Struthio camelus: one gene and its partner. The protein of the gene in region 1 purifies or fractionates together with the protein of each later gene. This does not show direct contact. Links are inferred from orthologs where the notes say so. Each region holds a gene or a part of one and is shown on either strand. Other genes may lie near its edges. The genes, in order: DTX3 and RNF114.

Evidence for each region.
Region 2: the proteins of DTX3 (region 1) and RNF114 purify together in Homo sapiens (affinity purification with mass spectrometry; 3 studies listed by BioGRID and IntAct, counting the BioPlex papers as one, with this or other methods). This does not show direct contact. The link is inferred for Struthio camelus from reciprocal best matches to the Homo sapiens genes DTX3 and RNF114.

What each region holds. Positions count from the first base shown.
Region 1 is NC_090969.1:2,297,440-2,304,745, reverse strand, and holds the start of DTX3 (probable E3 ubiquitin-protein ligase DTX3), read left to right. Parts: upstream 1-4,279; 5' UTR 4,280-4,373; intron 4,374-5,582; 5' UTR 5,583-5,644; coding exon 5,645-5,657; intron 5,658-6,090; coding exon 6,091-6,773; intron 6,774-7,235; coding exon 7,236-7,306. Other genes in the region: PIP4K2C (phosphatidylinositol 5-phosphate 4-kinase type-2 gamma), read left to right, coding at 599-696, 827-923, 1,002-1,142, 1,222-1,368, 1,623-1,661, 2,001-2,114, 2,291-2,540, 2,646-2,749 and 1 more. UniProt on the Homo sapiens protein: Regulator of Notch signaling, a signaling pathway involved in cell-cell communications that regulates a broad spectrum of cell-fate determinations.
Region 2 is NC_090959.1:9,898,450-9,906,362, forward strand, and holds the start of RNF114 (E3 ubiquitin-protein ligase RNF114), read left to right. Parts: upstream 1-4,665; 5' UTR 4,666-4,753; coding exon 4,754-4,902; intron 4,903-5,439; coding exon 5,440-5,590; intron 5,591-7,213; coding exon 7,214-7,320; intron 7,321-7,913. UniProt on the Homo sapiens protein: E3 ubiquitin-protein ligase that promotes the ubiquitination of various substrates. In turn, participates in the regulation of many biological processes including cell cycle, apoptosis, osteoclastogenesis as well as innate or adaptive immunity.

The DNA of each region.
Region 1 (7,306 bases):
AGGGACCCCAGACACCCCCCCGGGACCCCACCCCCATCCCCTGTAGGGACCCCAGACACCCTCCTATAGGACCCCCCAATCCCCTGTAGGGGCCCCGGGACCTTCTCCCCTGGGGGTCTGGGGTCCAGCACCTGCCAGTTGGGGGGATGACACTGATGTGGGAAGCCCCCTCACGCTGCCCCGGGGGGCTGTGCCCCCCAGCAGCACTGACGGCTCCCCCCATCCCCCCCCCCAATTTGTCCCCGTAGCAGCCCCCGGACTGGCAACGCAGTGCCCCCCTGGACAGCCCCGGAGGAGGTGGGTGGCCCCTGGGCCCCATCGCATGGCGTGTGCCCCCCCCCCCCACCATGCCGCTTGCTGCCCCCCGGTAACGGCGCTAACCCCCGGCCACCTGCGGCCGCCACTCATTAACCCGCTCGTTAATCCAAGCGCCTGCCCGAGCTGCCCCCCGGCCCCAGCTTGCCACGTCCATGCGGCGGGCGCCGGTGCCCACCCGCTGGGAGGACTGGGGTCCTTGCTGGGGGCTCCTCGGCGGGGTCACGGAGGGTGGCCCTGCGCAGCGGGGGGGACCGGCGTCACCCGTCCCGCTGCCCCGCAGATCGGCGAGCTCAGCCAGGTCCCGCTGCCCGTCATGCTCCTGCCCGACGACTTTAAGGCCAGCTCCAAAATCAAAGTCAACAACCACCTCTTCAACCGGTGAGCACGGCCGGGTGGCAGCTCCGCGGTGGTCCCGAACGGGGCCAGGAGACCTTCCGGAAAGGGGGGACGAAGCCCCCGGCTGCCCTGAGGAGCTCCTTGTCCTCATGCTGGTGACCTCCACCCGCAGGGAGAACCTGCCCAGTCATTTCAAGTTCAAGGAGTACTGTCCCCAGGTCTTCCGCAACCTCCGGGAGCGCTTCGGCATCGACGACCAGGACTACCAGGTGGGTCCACGGTGCGGTGGTGGCGTTCGGGGCCGCGCCGGCGTCGCCCCGGCCCTGCCTGACGCCCGTCCTGCCCAGGTCTCGCTGACGCGGAGCCCGCCCCACTCTGAGGGCAGCGACCGGCGGTTCCTGCTGTCCTACGACCGCACGTTGGTGGTGAAGGAGCTGTCGAGCGAGGACGTGGCCGACGTCCACAGCCTCCTGTCCCACTACCACCAGGTACGGGGGCGCGGTGGCCGGGCAGCGAGGAACGCCAGGGTCACCCGAGGGCCCTGATGGCACCCACGTCTCCCCGCAGTACATCGTGAAGTGTCACGGGACCACGCTGCTGCCCCGGTTCCTGGGCATGTACCGGGTGAGCGTGGACAGTGAGGAGACCTACCTGCTCGTCATGAGGAACATGTTCAGCCACCGGCTCTCCGTGCACAGGAAGTACGACCTCAAGGTAACGGGGCGCCCACCCCATCGCCCCAGCCTTGCTGTCCTGCCACGGGGGCCCCCCCTAAAGCTGCTAGAGGCTTGGAGCTGAGACAGAGCCCCCAAATCAGCCCGTGTCCTTGGGTCATCCATGCCTCCTGCTTCTCCATGCTCTCCATCCCTGGGTGGATTTAACCAACTCTGTTGTCCCCTCCTTTGTCCCCTCTGCCAGGAGCGCTGATTTTTCCCCCCAGCCTAACACAGCTTCTGCTTTTCCTCCAGGGCTCCCTTGTGTCCCGTGAAGCCAGCGACAAGGAGAAGGTACCACGGCACAGTGACGTGGGCAGGATGGTGCTGGGAGCCTCCAGCCTGGGGAGGGGGAACCGGGGCAGTCCCAGGCTCGTTATCAGCCTGTCCCCAGCCTCCACTTAACGATGAGGCTGCAGCTGTGGAGGGAGAGCTGATCCCTGCAACCTCCTGAGGAACCGTGGAGGCAAGGTGCCACCACGCTCGTCCCCAGGGAGTCCCTGTTATCCGTGAGCCTCCAGGGTCCCCCATCAGGGCGGGGAGGACCCCACTGGTTTCTTGGAGTGGGGAGGGGGCTCCCCACAGCCATAGTGGGACCGCAGGGGCCCGTCCCACATGTTCGTCTCGCCACAGGGCAAAGACTTGCCCACACTGAAGGACATGGACTTCCTGAACAAGAACGAGAAGGTCTACGTGGGCGAGGAGGACAAGAAGGACTTCATGGAGAAGCTCAAGAGAGATGTGGAGGTGGGTGAGGGGGCTCCAGGCCAGAGCCGTGGTGCCCGGACAGGGGCTGGGTGTTTGGGGAGGGGGTGGCCACCTCTCACTAGGGCAGTCACGAGGGTTGGTACCCCCCTCCCAAAAACCGGCTGCCGGCCAGGGGTTCTCCATGTCCCTTCCTGTGATCTCCCCCGTGTCGCCAGTTCCTGGTGCAGCTGAAGATCATGGACTACAGCCTGCTGCTGGGCATCCACGACGTGGCGCGGGCAGAGCAGGAGGAGGAAGAGGAGGTGGAAGAGGAGGAAGGCGGGGGCGACGAGGCGGGGGCCGCCATCGTGGGCTCCTACGGCACCTCCCCGGAGGGCATCGGCAGCTACCTCAACTCCCACCGGCCGCTGGGCCCCGGCGAGTTCGACCCCTATGTGGACGTCTACGCTATCCGGAGCGCCGAGGGTGAGCGGGGCATTGGGTGCTTGGGGGGGGGGGGGGGGCAGGCCGAAGAGGTGGGTGTGGGGCTCACCCACCCCTCTCCTCGCCTGCTTCCCCCTCCCACCCCAGGTGGCCCCCGCAAGGAGGTGTACTTCATGGGGCTCATCGACGTCCTCACGCAGTACGACGCCCGCAAGAAGGCCGCCCACGCTGCCAAGACCGTCAAGCACGGGGTGAGCCCGAGGAAGAGGATGGCCTCCTTTTTTTTTGGGGGGGGGGGGGCCCTTGGAGGGTCTGGGGAGGTTTGGGGCAGGGTCTGACCCCCCCCCCCCCCCAATATCCTGTGCTCTCCCGCAGGCGGGGGCTGAGATCTCCACGGTGCATCCCGAACAGTACGCCAAGCGCTTCCTCGACTTCATCACCAACATCTTCGCGTAGATGGGGGGGGGCCCGGGGCTGAGCTGGCCCCCCCCCCGACCTTCGCCCCAGGCACGGTGCCCCCCACCCCGCCTGCGAGCGGGGCAGCTCCTCCCCCCCACCGTTGGTGCCCGGTGGAGGTGGGGGGCTGCTATTCAAGTGCCTTATTTTACCGTGGGGTGGGGTGGGGGGGTCCAGCCCTGCCCTATGCAATAAGCTGGGGGCTGCCCCCCACACATGGGGCTGCATTGCTTCTACCTCCCCCCATGCTCGGGGGGGGGGCAATTGAACACTACTTGCCCTGGGGCTAGTGGGGTGTCTCCTCCTGTGGGGGGGTAGGAGGTTCCTCCACCCCCCCAAAAAGGGCTGTTCCTTTGGGGGGGGTGTCCCTGTGTTTCACTGACAGTCCTGGGGGTGTCCCGGGAGTAGCCCCCCCCTTCCCCCATTATGGGTCTGGTCTGGGGGGGGAGGATGGCGAGCCTGTGGGCCCCCCCGCCCCCAGTAGGAGTGGGGCTGGGGGAGGCATGGCCCTCTCCCTGTTACAAGTGGGGTCACAGTGTGGGGTTGCCCCCCCCCCCGTTATCAGCGGGGTCCTGGGACCTGTTCCTGCCCCCCCCCCACACCACACACACTGCACGGGGGACCCTGCCGTGCTGGGGGGGTAATGGGGGGGGGGCTGCTCTCCAGCACTGTATCCTAAGAAATAAATTATTGAACCAGCCCAGGCTCTGCCCCTGTTACCGGGACCCCCCCCCCTCCTTCTCCAGGCTCTGCCCCCGTTACCGGGACCCCCCCCCTTCCCTAGGCTGTGTCCCGTTACTGGGACCCCCTCCTCATTATGAGGATGCCCCCCTTTCTCTGGCTCTGCCCCCATTACTGGAACCCCCCCCCTTTCCCTCAGCTGTGTCCTGTTACCAGGACCCCCCCCCCTTCCCCAGGCTGTGTCCTGTTATTGGGACCCCCCCCCCCAACAGCCAGGCTCTATCTCGGTACTGAGCCCCCCCCACCTTACCAACGTGCTGCACCCCATTACCGGGACTCCCAGTTCGCTCCCCTCCCCCGCCCCTCCGTGCCCGGTTACCGGGACCCCGATACCCGTGCCCCCCCCCCCGTTGCCATGATGCTCCGTTGCCATGGCGACGGGCGCCGAGCGGGACCTGTCCCGCCCCGCTGCGTCCGCCGGTACCAGGCCGCGCCCCGCCCCTTCTCCCCCCCCCGCACACCGCCCAGCGCCGTCGCCATGGGCCCCGCCCTCGTTGCCATGGCGGCGGCGCCCCGCCCCGCGCGCCCACGTGATGTGCGGCGGCTCCGCGAAGAGCCTCCCCCCCCCCAACCCTTTCCCCCCCCCCACCCCCCCCCTCCCGGCCGCCGCCAGCCGCCGCCGCCGCCGCACCGCTCCGGGCCGCGCCGCCCCCGCCATGCTCCGGCCTCCCGGCTATGGTGGGTCCGCCGCGGGGGGGGCCCCGTCCTGCCCCCCCCCTCCCTCCCTCCCCTCGGGAACGGGCAGGGCCCGGCCCAGCTTCATTTCCTTCCCGGTAACGGGTAGGGCCGGGCCCAGCCTCTCCCCCCCCCCCCACCGGCGTCGTTGTCGTCGCTGTCCCCGGGTCCGGCCGGGCCCCCCCCCCCCCAGCATGACACCCCCTCCCCGGGGCTTGGTTAGGCCTGGCTTCTCCCCCTCCCACCCCTAATTTCCGGGCCCTATCTTATTCCTCCCCCCCCGCCCCATCTTGCCCCCCTCACCCCCATCCTGCCCCCCCCAAGGCCTCACCTTGCCCCCCCCATTTACTTCCCCCTCATACCCTTCCTTTCCCCCCTCCCCCGGGGCCCCGTCCTGCCCCCCCATCCTGTCCCTCCTCATCTCTTCCCCCTCCCTTCCCCTGGCCCAGCCTGACCCCCCCCTTGCCCACCCCCCCCGACCTGTCCTGTCCCAGCTCGGCCCCATCTCACCCCCCTTGTCGCCATCCCGTCCCCCCCCCCATATCTCTCCCCATCCTGCCCCCCCTCCGGCTCCTGTCCTGTCCCCTGGCTGTGTCCCCCCCCCCCGGTGATCCCTGTCCCCTGCATGCCACCTCCCCTGGCAGTGCTGGGGGGTGACCCCCATAACTGGGGGGGGGGGGCTACAGCCTCTCTACGGCCCCCCCCAGCAGTGGGGCCCCTGGGCGGGGGGGAATAGGGGCAGGTGAACAACCCCTTTCCCCCCCCCCCATCCTGGGGTCCTCCAGGGGTTTGGTGCCCCCCCCACCCCATCGAGCAGTGGGGTCTGGAGAGCGGGGGGCACCGAGGAGGCCGTACCTGGCCCCCCCAGCCCCTCTGTTCCCGGGGGTGGCGCTGTGCTGGGCCCGGCGTTTCGGGCTGTTTGTTGTTGTAGGGTCTCCTGGGGACACCGCGGGGGTGGGGGGCGTAGGATGGATTACGCTGCCGTGGTTGTTGTTGTAGGGTCTCCTGATGGGGATTAGCACCTGGGGGGGGGATATTTTCTCTTTAGGGGGTTCAGTGGGGCTGGGAGTTGGGGGGGCAGAGCAGTGTCCCCCATACCCCCCTCGGGGGAGGGGGCAGCGAGCCCTTCCGGGGGGCCCACATGCTGGGGGGTGGGACTTGGGGACAAGATCCAGGGGAGGGGGGCACAGTGTGACCCTGTGTCCCTCCCAGTCCGTGGCTCGTGGCTCCGCTGATCACGGCTCTGCTGGTGTTTCGGGCTCGTGCTGTCCCCCATGGGCTCACCAGGTGGGTGCTGCTGCCCCCCCCTTTGGGCCCTGGGACCCCCCCCCCCACCTTGGGCAGGGCAAGAACCTGGACTCCTGGGTGCTCCTGCGGGCTGGGCACGAGGGTGCCCCCAGACCCCAACCCCCTGCCCCTTCCTGCGACATCCCCTCAGCTTGCGGGTCCTTGAGAGGCCTCGGTGCCACCTAGGTGGCACCTGGGACATGTCCCATCCCATCCCATCCCATCCCCCCTGGGGAGGGTCCAGCGGGGGGTACCACAGGGCTGGGGGCACCCGGTGCCTGTTGAGGAAGCATCACGGTCTGGGAGGAGGCCTATGGAGGGACACCATAAGGAAGGAGCAGGCTGGGGACATCGTGCGGGAGGGGGCTGTGGCACCTCGCGGTGAACCCCACGCCCGACAGGCTCTGACACCATGGGCCTGGGCCCCCCCCAGTGTCGTTTGTCCTGTCCAGGATGGCGGCGTGCGGGGGGGCCACTAAGAACAAGTTGACGGTGTCCAAGCGGGTGTGGGACTTCTTGACCAAGGAGAGCCCGGCCAAGCTGGCCCGGCTCAAGGAGGAGACCAAGGTGAGCATCCTGGTGGACGGCGAGACCTCCGACATCTACGTGCTTCAGCTCTGCACGCCCGTCCCGGGCACCGCCAACGGCCTCTACCTGGCCCGCAAGGCCCTCAAGGCCCTGCTCAAGGAGACGGAGAAGGAGCTGAAGAAGGCCCAGCGCCACGGGGAGGTGGTGGGCTGCGTGGCCCTGCTGGACAAGAGCGGGCCCGGGCTTGGGGCCCGGGGACCGGCGGGCGGCGGGGGGCGCGCCGGCGGGGCGCCGGGGTGCTCGCGGGACGAGGAACCCGACCGGCAGTGTCCCATCTGCCTGGGCGAGATCCAGAACATGAAGACGCTGGAGAAGTGCCGACACTCGTTCTGCGAGGATTGCATCACGCGGGCGCTCCAGGTGAAGACCGCTTGCCCCATGTGCGGGCGCTTCTACGGGCAGCTGGTGGGCAACCAGCCCCAGAACGGGCGCATGCTGGTCACCAAGGACTCCAGCCTCCTGCTCCCCGGCTACGAGAAGTTCGGCACCATCATCATCCAGTACGTCTTCCCACCCGGCGTCCAAGGGGTAAGACAGCGCGTGCCCCCTCACCCCGCGTCGGCTGGGCACCGGGCACCCCGGGCTGGCGAGGTGTCCCCTGTGCCCCCAGCAATGGGGGCATCCCAAGTTGGTAGGGTGTCACCTGTCCTGTTCTGTGGCCGTGGTGCTACTGGGCATCCCCAAAGCTTGCTGGGCACCTCCACCTGGTTCTGCACCGCTGCCGCTTGGGCACCCTAGTCTGGTTGTGCGTCCCCAAAAGCGGCTGCGTGCCCTGGCACCCAGCTACGCCAACCCATCTGGGTGCCCCTGACGCCAGATGTTCACCTTTGGTCACGCTGCGACTTTGGGGGGTGTCCCCGACCCTGCTCTGGTGCCACGGAGCTAAGCCCAGCCTGGCCAAGCACCCTTGGGTGTAACCCCAATCCCTCTGGGTGCCCCCCTGGGGGCACCCCCGCGCCTGACGCCCCGTGTCGGCCCGACGCCTCGCAGGTGGAGCACCCCAACCCGGGCGTGCGGTACCCGGGCACCACGCGGGTGGCCTACCTGCCCGACTGCCCCGA
Region 2 (7,913 bases), on another chromosome or scaffold:
ATCAGATTTTGTCTCACACTTCGGCAGCTACCTCATCTCTTTCATGGTTATTCCACAGTAGGTTGATTATCTGGCATTAAGAATCTTCAGTAATGGCAACTCTTCTGGAATAAAAATTGAAAAAGACAAGTCATCACAGATGTCGATAGCATCTATTTGCCTCACAGGGTTCTATAAAATCATTCACAGTGCAGGGGCTCCCAGAACAGACTCTTTAGGGTTCTGAAAAAGCACAGGAGCCTACAGAAATGTTGGTGTCCTCCTTTTCACTGCTATTCTCTACTCCTTTCCCCAGTTAACTGTCTAAAACAGAGCACCAGAAAGCTAAATGGGGCAAGGCACCAAGAGTGTGATACCAGAAAATTGGTGGAAATTCAAGTCCAGATTGAGGATTCCTTGGCTAAGAGAACAACAGCGAAGGTAACTCACAACATAAGACCGAAAGACAAAAGCAGGGGTTTTTAGGGCGTCTTCTCTTTTTCTTTTATCGCGCCTTTTCGATTCAAACAAATCGTACAAACATGACGAGAATTGGTCACTGTTTTATTTCGTTTGCCCTGCACAGAGATATAAAGGTACAAAATCCCAAAAAGAAGTTTCTTTTTGCTCAGATTAGGAAAGCATATACTTCTCTTTTTGCTAGTGGCATAGGCTCGGCCCATAGAATTGAGCAGATTAATACACTTAGCCTTTCTACTTCTAACATTTTCTAGGCTTTTGAACACCACTCATTCTATCCAACGGCACACCCCGGCCATCGTGGTGCCGGCAGTACGCTGCAGCCACCCCCTAGAGAGCACATGTGCCCCCGAACACTGCAAAGTACAGCCAAAGCTTTAGCCAAATGCTAGTAGTAGCATTGTAACCTTTTCGATGGAAAGCTACAGCTACCAATTTTAACTGCTTTATTAGAACAGAGCAAAATCATTTCTGTGTTTATGTCATTTTGTTTGCAGGGCTGGTTGCTTTTACGTATTACTGACTATGCTTTTTCATCTCATTGAGTTCTTATCTCCCACACAGAAAAAGCTGGTAAGAAAATAAGCTTCCTAACATTACTTTACCAAAGCCAAGGTAACTAACAGGTCAACAGACTCCATCTAAATTTCCTGAAGAAATTGTGATCAGAAAGCAGATCACAGGCTTTATTTTTTTTGTACTGCTATTTTTATTTAAAAGACAGCACAATCCTAGTCCTTATACGCTTCCTAGCTCTAAACAAAAAAAGAAGAAAAAACCCCACACAATCCATTGTATCAGTTATAGTCAGTCTGAAACAGCATTTTAGAAAGACTTCCCACCCAATATTAATTTCAGCAGCCATAAGACTGCTGATTATTTTAGCAGAAGCCTATGAGGACATTGAAAAAAATCACTCTAAGTGCAAGATGAACTGAATGAAAGGAGCCATAACACAAATACATGACAAAAAAAAAAAAGGAAAAAAGGGTAGAAACAAGAAGGCCCAACAGCCTAGCAACTAATCTTGCTTGATGAGAGGATGTGCCTAACAGTAGCATCGTGTGGGAAAAGTTAACCAGCAGCTCAATTTCTGCTCAGAGGCATACTGCTCTTGGTCTTTGCACAAGCAGAAACGCACTGATGTCGGGAGAGAAGCTGTGAATCACAGGACACACGGGGTTCTAAATTAACATCTTAACACAAGGGGCAGAAGTAAGAATGTAATTCAGTCCTTTCCACAAAGCGCTCACTTCTCTCCCTCCCTCCAGGATTTTTCCCTCTTAATTTGTGTCAGACGAAGTCTGTGGACAAAAACAACACAATTTCTGTAACTTAGCGAGAACAGCTGTAGCTAGGCTGTACGAGAGAAGCGCAGACAGAGCTCTTCGCTTGGCACGCCAATAGCACAGCCTTAGGACAAGGGATGATCTTGCGTCGGTAAGGAGTTGGATTAAGGAGCAGCTCCTCCACCTGTAACGTCGACAGCTGCTTAACGAAACAGCTCAGACGTACAAGACGCCACGCTCGGGAAAGTCCCCGAAGGAAGAGAAAGCCCTTCATCAAGGCCTCACGCCCCGTGACATTCAAAGCCGCTGGCAGCTCCGGTCGCGACCCGCCGTTGGCGCGCAGGCCGGAGCTCAGGCGGCTGCGAAACGGAACACGACGAGCGCCAGGAAGCCACGAACCTCCGCAGAGCTGCGGCGCCGCCAGCAGCGGACCGGCCTCGCGGCGGCCCCCGGGGCGCAGGGGCACACAGCGCCGAGGGAGAGACGGGCCCGCCGCCGGGACGGGCAGCGCCGCGCCGCCTTACCGACGGGAAGCCGGGCCCAAGGCGCGCCCAGCGGAGGAGGCCGGAGAGCGGCCGGCCCGCGGCCGCCCCCGCGCCGAGCCTCGGCCCTCTCAGCCGGCGCGCAGCGCGGGGGAAGCTCGGGCAGCCAAACGCCGAGGCCCCGGAGCCGGCAGCGACCGCGGAGCGGCCCCGCTGCGGCACCGAGCCGCCGCCGCCCCTCGGGGGCCGCCGCCGCCCCGGCCCGCACTCACCGCCGCCGCCCCGGCCCGCCGGCAGGAAGCGCCCGGTGACCCGGATGTAGACTCCGCCCCCCCCCCCCAAGGCCGCGCTGCGCCCCCCGCCCCGCTCACCCCCTCCTCGCCGCTTGTCCTCCCGTCGCCGACCACGCGGGCGCTCCCGGTGGCGAGCGCGGAGGGCGACGGCGGCACCCCGGAAGTGGATGGCGGCGGGCGGGGGGTGGGGGGAGAGGGGGAAGCGGCGCCTCCCCCTGCGGCGGTGGGGGGGGGGGTCCGCGGTGTGACGTCAGCGGGCGGTGCGGGCGGCGGGGGGGAGGGGGCTCGGGGTGTCGGACTCCCCCGGCCGAGGGGCTCCGGGCGGAGGGACCCCCGTGTCCGCCCCCCGGACCCAGGGGACGGCCGGGCTGTGCCCCCCCGGGCTGTGGGACCCCCCCCAGGACCCCCCGGACCCAGGGGACGGCCGGGCTGTGCCTCCCCAGGCTGTGGGACCCCCCCCTAGAGCCCCCCCGGACCCAGGGGACGGCCGGGCTGTGCCTCCCCAGGCTGTGGGACCCCCCTAGAGCCCCCCCGGACCCAGGGGACGGCCGGGCTGTGCCCCCCCCAGGCTGTGGGACCCCCCCCCAGGACCCCCCGGACCCAGGGGACGGCCGGGCTGTGCCTCCCCAGGCTGTGGGACCCCCCCCTAGAGCCCCCCCGGACCCAGGGGACGGCCGGGCTGTGGCCCCCCGGGCTGTGGGACCCCCCCAGGACCCCCCGGACCCAGGGGATGGCCGGGCTGTGCCCCCCCAGGCTGTGGGACCCCCCCAGAGCCCCCCCGGACCCAGGGGACGGCCGGGCTGTGCCCCCCCCAGGCTGTGGGACCCCCCCCAGGACCCCCCGGACCCAGGGGACGGCCGGGCTGTGCCCCCCCCAGGCTGTGGGACCCCCCCCAGGACCCCCCGGACCCAGGGGACGGCCGGGCTGCGCCCCCCCGGGCTGTGGGACCCCCCCAGGACCCCCCGGACCCAGGGGACGGCCGGGCTGTGCCCCCCCGGGCTGTGGGACCCCCCCCAGGACCCCCCGGACCCAGGGGACGGCCGGGCTGTGCCCCCCCGGGCTGTGGGACCCCCCCCAGGACCCCCCGGACCGAGGGGACAGCCGGGTTGTGCCCCCCCGGGCTGTGGGACCCCCCCAGGGCCCCCCGGGCTGGGGAGCAGCCTAGGCGGGGGCGGCAGGGGGGTCAGAGCAGGGCGTTTCGGGGACCAGCCGCTCGGGGCCAGGCCGGCGCGGGAGGGCCGCGCTCGGCGCCCTTCGCCCCTTGTGTTTTAGGAGCCGGGGGGCGTTTGGCGCGCTCGCGCGTGGAACGAGAGCGGCTGGTGCCGCGGCCGCCCGCGCACCCAGCGTCGGGGGGACACGGGGAATAAAGGCCTGAAGGCGGCGGCGGATCCGCCCCTCGGCTCCCCCGCCAGGTGGTCACAGCCGCGAGGGAAGGAGAAAAGCAGCCGCTGCAGGGAATTACGCGTCCGTTCAACCTCGGCACGAGGCGTTTATGCCACGACCCTAACAGAAGGGATCGTGACGCCTTTATCGTTTTATAAACAGCTTCTGCGGTGCCCTGGCTTGCCCACCGCCGACAGGAGCTGCGTTGTCCTCCCGTTACCAGCTCGGCGCGCCCCAGCCGGCGCAGCCGGACCGCGAGAGCAAGGGGGAAACGGCACGACGCTCCCCGACCGCAAGATGCCGAAAACCGCCGGCAACCAACAGCGGCACCAATTAAACGCGGACGGCGGCGGCCTTGAGGCCGGGGGCGGGGGGGGGGGGGAACAGCCCGCGCCATCTACAATTTTTCACGCGGCCTTGCTCTAGCTGTTGGTAAAAACGCTCCTTTTCTCTTCCGCCAGGCAGAACCGCCGCCTCCTGCCTCACCCCGGGCCGCGGCCGCTCCGCAGGCCCGGGCGAGGCGGGCGGCCCCCGGCGGCGCTCGCCCTGCTGCCCGCGCCGCCACCGGCTGCCCCGCGCCACTGGCGGCCCTGCCCCGGGGCGCCCCGGCCACGCCCCCGGCCCCTGGGCACGCCCCTCCGGCCCCTGGGCACGCCCCCAACCTCGGGCCACGCCCCCTGCGCCGGGCCTCGCCCGCCCCCGCGGGGCGGGAGTCTCCTCGCCGTGCTCGCCCCGGCGCCGGGATCTGTGCTGCGGCTGCGCGCGGGCGGCTTCGCGATTGGCTGGGGGTTCGGGGCGGGGCCCGCGCGGAGGCGGAGGTCCGAGGGGGCGGTGGGGCCGCCGCAAGATGGCGGTGGCCGGTGGAGGTGGTGCTTCGCGCTCTCCGGAGCGGGCAGTGGCGGCAGCGGCGCGGCGGCACGACCCGCTGTCGCGCTTCACCTGCCCTGTGTGCCTGGAGGTGTACGAGAGCCCGGTGCGCGTGCCCTGCGGACATGTGTGAGCGGCTGCCGGCGGCGCGGCGCGGCGCGGCGTGGGGGCCTCGGGGGCGGCTCCGGGCCCGCGGGCCCCTTCCTCGACCGGGTGCCGTGAGCGGGCCGCGAGGCGGCGGGCGGGCGCAGAGGCCGCGGCGGGGGCGGCCCCGGGCCGGGCTCGGGCGGGCCCGGCTCCCGTAGGGGGAGGTCGGTGAAGCGGCCTTGCCCGAGGGGACGGGGGTCTGCAGGCAGCTGCGCGCTTTAGCCCGTTGTAGGGGCGCCGTGAGCCTCGCTTGACACAAAAACAGCGGCGCGGTGCGTTCGGTAGCTTCCCCCCACCTGTGAAAGCTGGTGGAGATAGAGATTTGTCGAAAATCTGATAATTCCGACTGTGATGGCCCAGACTGCACCTCCCGTCACACGGCACAAATGTCAGCCGGCCGCTGTCGCTTCTTGTGACTCCTTTATCGCTAATAACAGGGGGCATGGCAGGTCTCTGAGTGTTTTAATCGAGTTGTAAGGAGCGTCCTTCTCACCGCTTGCTGTTTTTCTCCCATGCTAGCTTTTGCACTCCGTGCCTGCAGGAATGTCTCAAGCCGAAAAAGCCTGTTTGCGGCGTCTGCCGCAGTACCCTGTCTCCTGGTAGCAGAGCTCTGGACCTGGAGAAGCAAATTGAAATGACGGAAACCACTTGCAATGGCTGCAATAAAAAGGTAGGAAAGCGTTTGAAAACCAAGTGCCTGAAGTGTTCCTGTTCAGTCCTACAGCTTAGAGGGAAGTAAAGTATTTGCTCTTCAGCTTTCTGCAACAACAGGTCAAATGCTTGTTTTAAGTACTACAGGCACTTTTTTTTTGTAAGTCGTTCCTAAATGTTGACGTTTTTCCACAGTCTTTATTGTTACCTCCCTAGGAAGTGAATTCTGAGTGTGAGATGCTGTGTTGGTTTAAAAATAATAATAAAATATTGCTACGAGGATGTCTGTGGGTGTAACGCTGTAAGGAAATGGTGAATGTGGTTTTAAACACTGAGAGCCTAGGCTTTTAAACAGAAGAACTTTGTTTGCTTCCTCAGAAATAGTTATGAGACAAAGCTGTCCTATATGAGCAGTATATTCCATATATTTTACTGTTTGGTAAAATCCTGCATATGAAACACTTAGAGGACACCCTCTTATCATTTACTTCCTCTTTGTAAGTTTGGGCTTCTTAGCATTGTCCCAATATACGGGAAAATATCTTGACAGATGGAAAGACAGCGAGAAAAGGTTAATTAGATGCATATTACACCAAAACTGCAGCTTTGTAGTTCATATGGTCCTGTATCTAATCCTCAGATTAATTGGTTCACTTGTAAAGCTAAAATCTTTAATTTAAAACTCATTAAAGAATGTCATTATGCTAACTGAACTTTTACAGCTCTCTTTTTATTAAAAAAACAAAGTTCCTCATCTCCTGCACTACTGCTGTTATATATTTCTCATAAACAAGGTGAGAGTATCTGTTCTGTTAGTTTCACTTTTGATTTCTGAGTAGTATCACCTTTTTTATTCTGGCTGATATAAAATTGCAGTCCCTTGACTTGTAGATTTCCTTACAGGAAATTTCAGTTTTCATTAGTGGGATAATGCTTGAAACACGATTGTCAGACTTGCACTTGGTTTTTGATGGAGGCTGATACATTAGCTATATCTTTATCTCGCATCTACTGCTAATCAGTATCTAATCCTCCTGAGTTATTGCCTATTTTTGTACCTCTTACTCCTCCTAAAAACACTGTTCTTTCTAGCTTGGATAGGGTTATTAAGATTCGGATCTAATTTAAAGCATGTTTGAAATCGATTGTTAGCCAGACTTCAAGCATAAAATGGATTTTTGCAAAGAAAAAAACCTTCAGGCTTTTGCAAGTAGAAATTGTGAAGTCAGGTTCGTCTCCGTTCCTTCGTTGTACGTGCTGCGTATCTGACAACGTTCTGCAGTACAGATCTTGGTGTAGATCAATTACAAAAAGCGAAGCTATTACCCGTATTGGCTCTTCTCCTGAGCAACCAGATAAACTGGCTTTATATGAAACTTTTATATTACATCTTAGGAAAAGTGAGCTGTCCTGAACAGCATGGTATTGGTAACATATTACAGGCAACAAAGTTACTGGTTAACTAGTACGTAGTCTTGACAGTTTTCTGTCTCATCAGCCTAATTGTTTTTCTGTTTCAGCATTTTCTATAGAAAGCCTATTTCTTTTGCGTATCGTTTACTTCTTCTGCCTAAAAGCCTGAAAGTGAAAGTGACTGCAAGTAGTTTAAACTGAGTTTGCTGTTTAATTGTTGTCTCTCCAGATGTATCTCTCAAAGATGCGTAGCCATGCAGCTTCTTGTTCAAAGTACCAGAATTATATAATGGAAGGTGTAAAAGCTGTAACTAAAGAACCCCTTAACAACACCAGGTAACTAGCTCTTCTCTTGACGTGCTATTTTTTGATACCACAAACTGGGCTGTAAATATTTAATCATTATGAAACTTAAAAATTGATTCTTGCTCTGAGAACAGTCCTTTTATCTTGTTTAAACAAAAGTTGACTGTGTTATGATGTGTCATGCAAACTGTAGAATACTGGAGTAAAAGCAGACTTTACCTCTTCACTCAGTTTGGGTGTTAATTCTTTTAATCCTCTCATATTGTTAAACTAAGCCTTCAACCTAACAACAGACTATGCACAGGCAAGCTGTTCTAATTTGTGATGTTATCCATGGATGTTTTAGTGCAAGATCAGGGTACTTAGTTAAAGGGGGGTGGGAGAGGTGTTAAGTAATAGTTTTGTCTTTCTGTCTCTTGATTGTAGTAACTTACAATGAAGGGAAGTTGCAGTGAGCCGCATTGTAGCGTGTTGGGTGTGTGACTGTGCCTTTTTAAAAAATATATATATAAGAAAGCAAACTGATAAATGGCATTTGTAACATTTGTAAGAGAAGTAGTTTTGTATAAATATGGATGATATTAAAAGTTCTTTAAGATATCATTAGGAATAAAGAAGCTGAT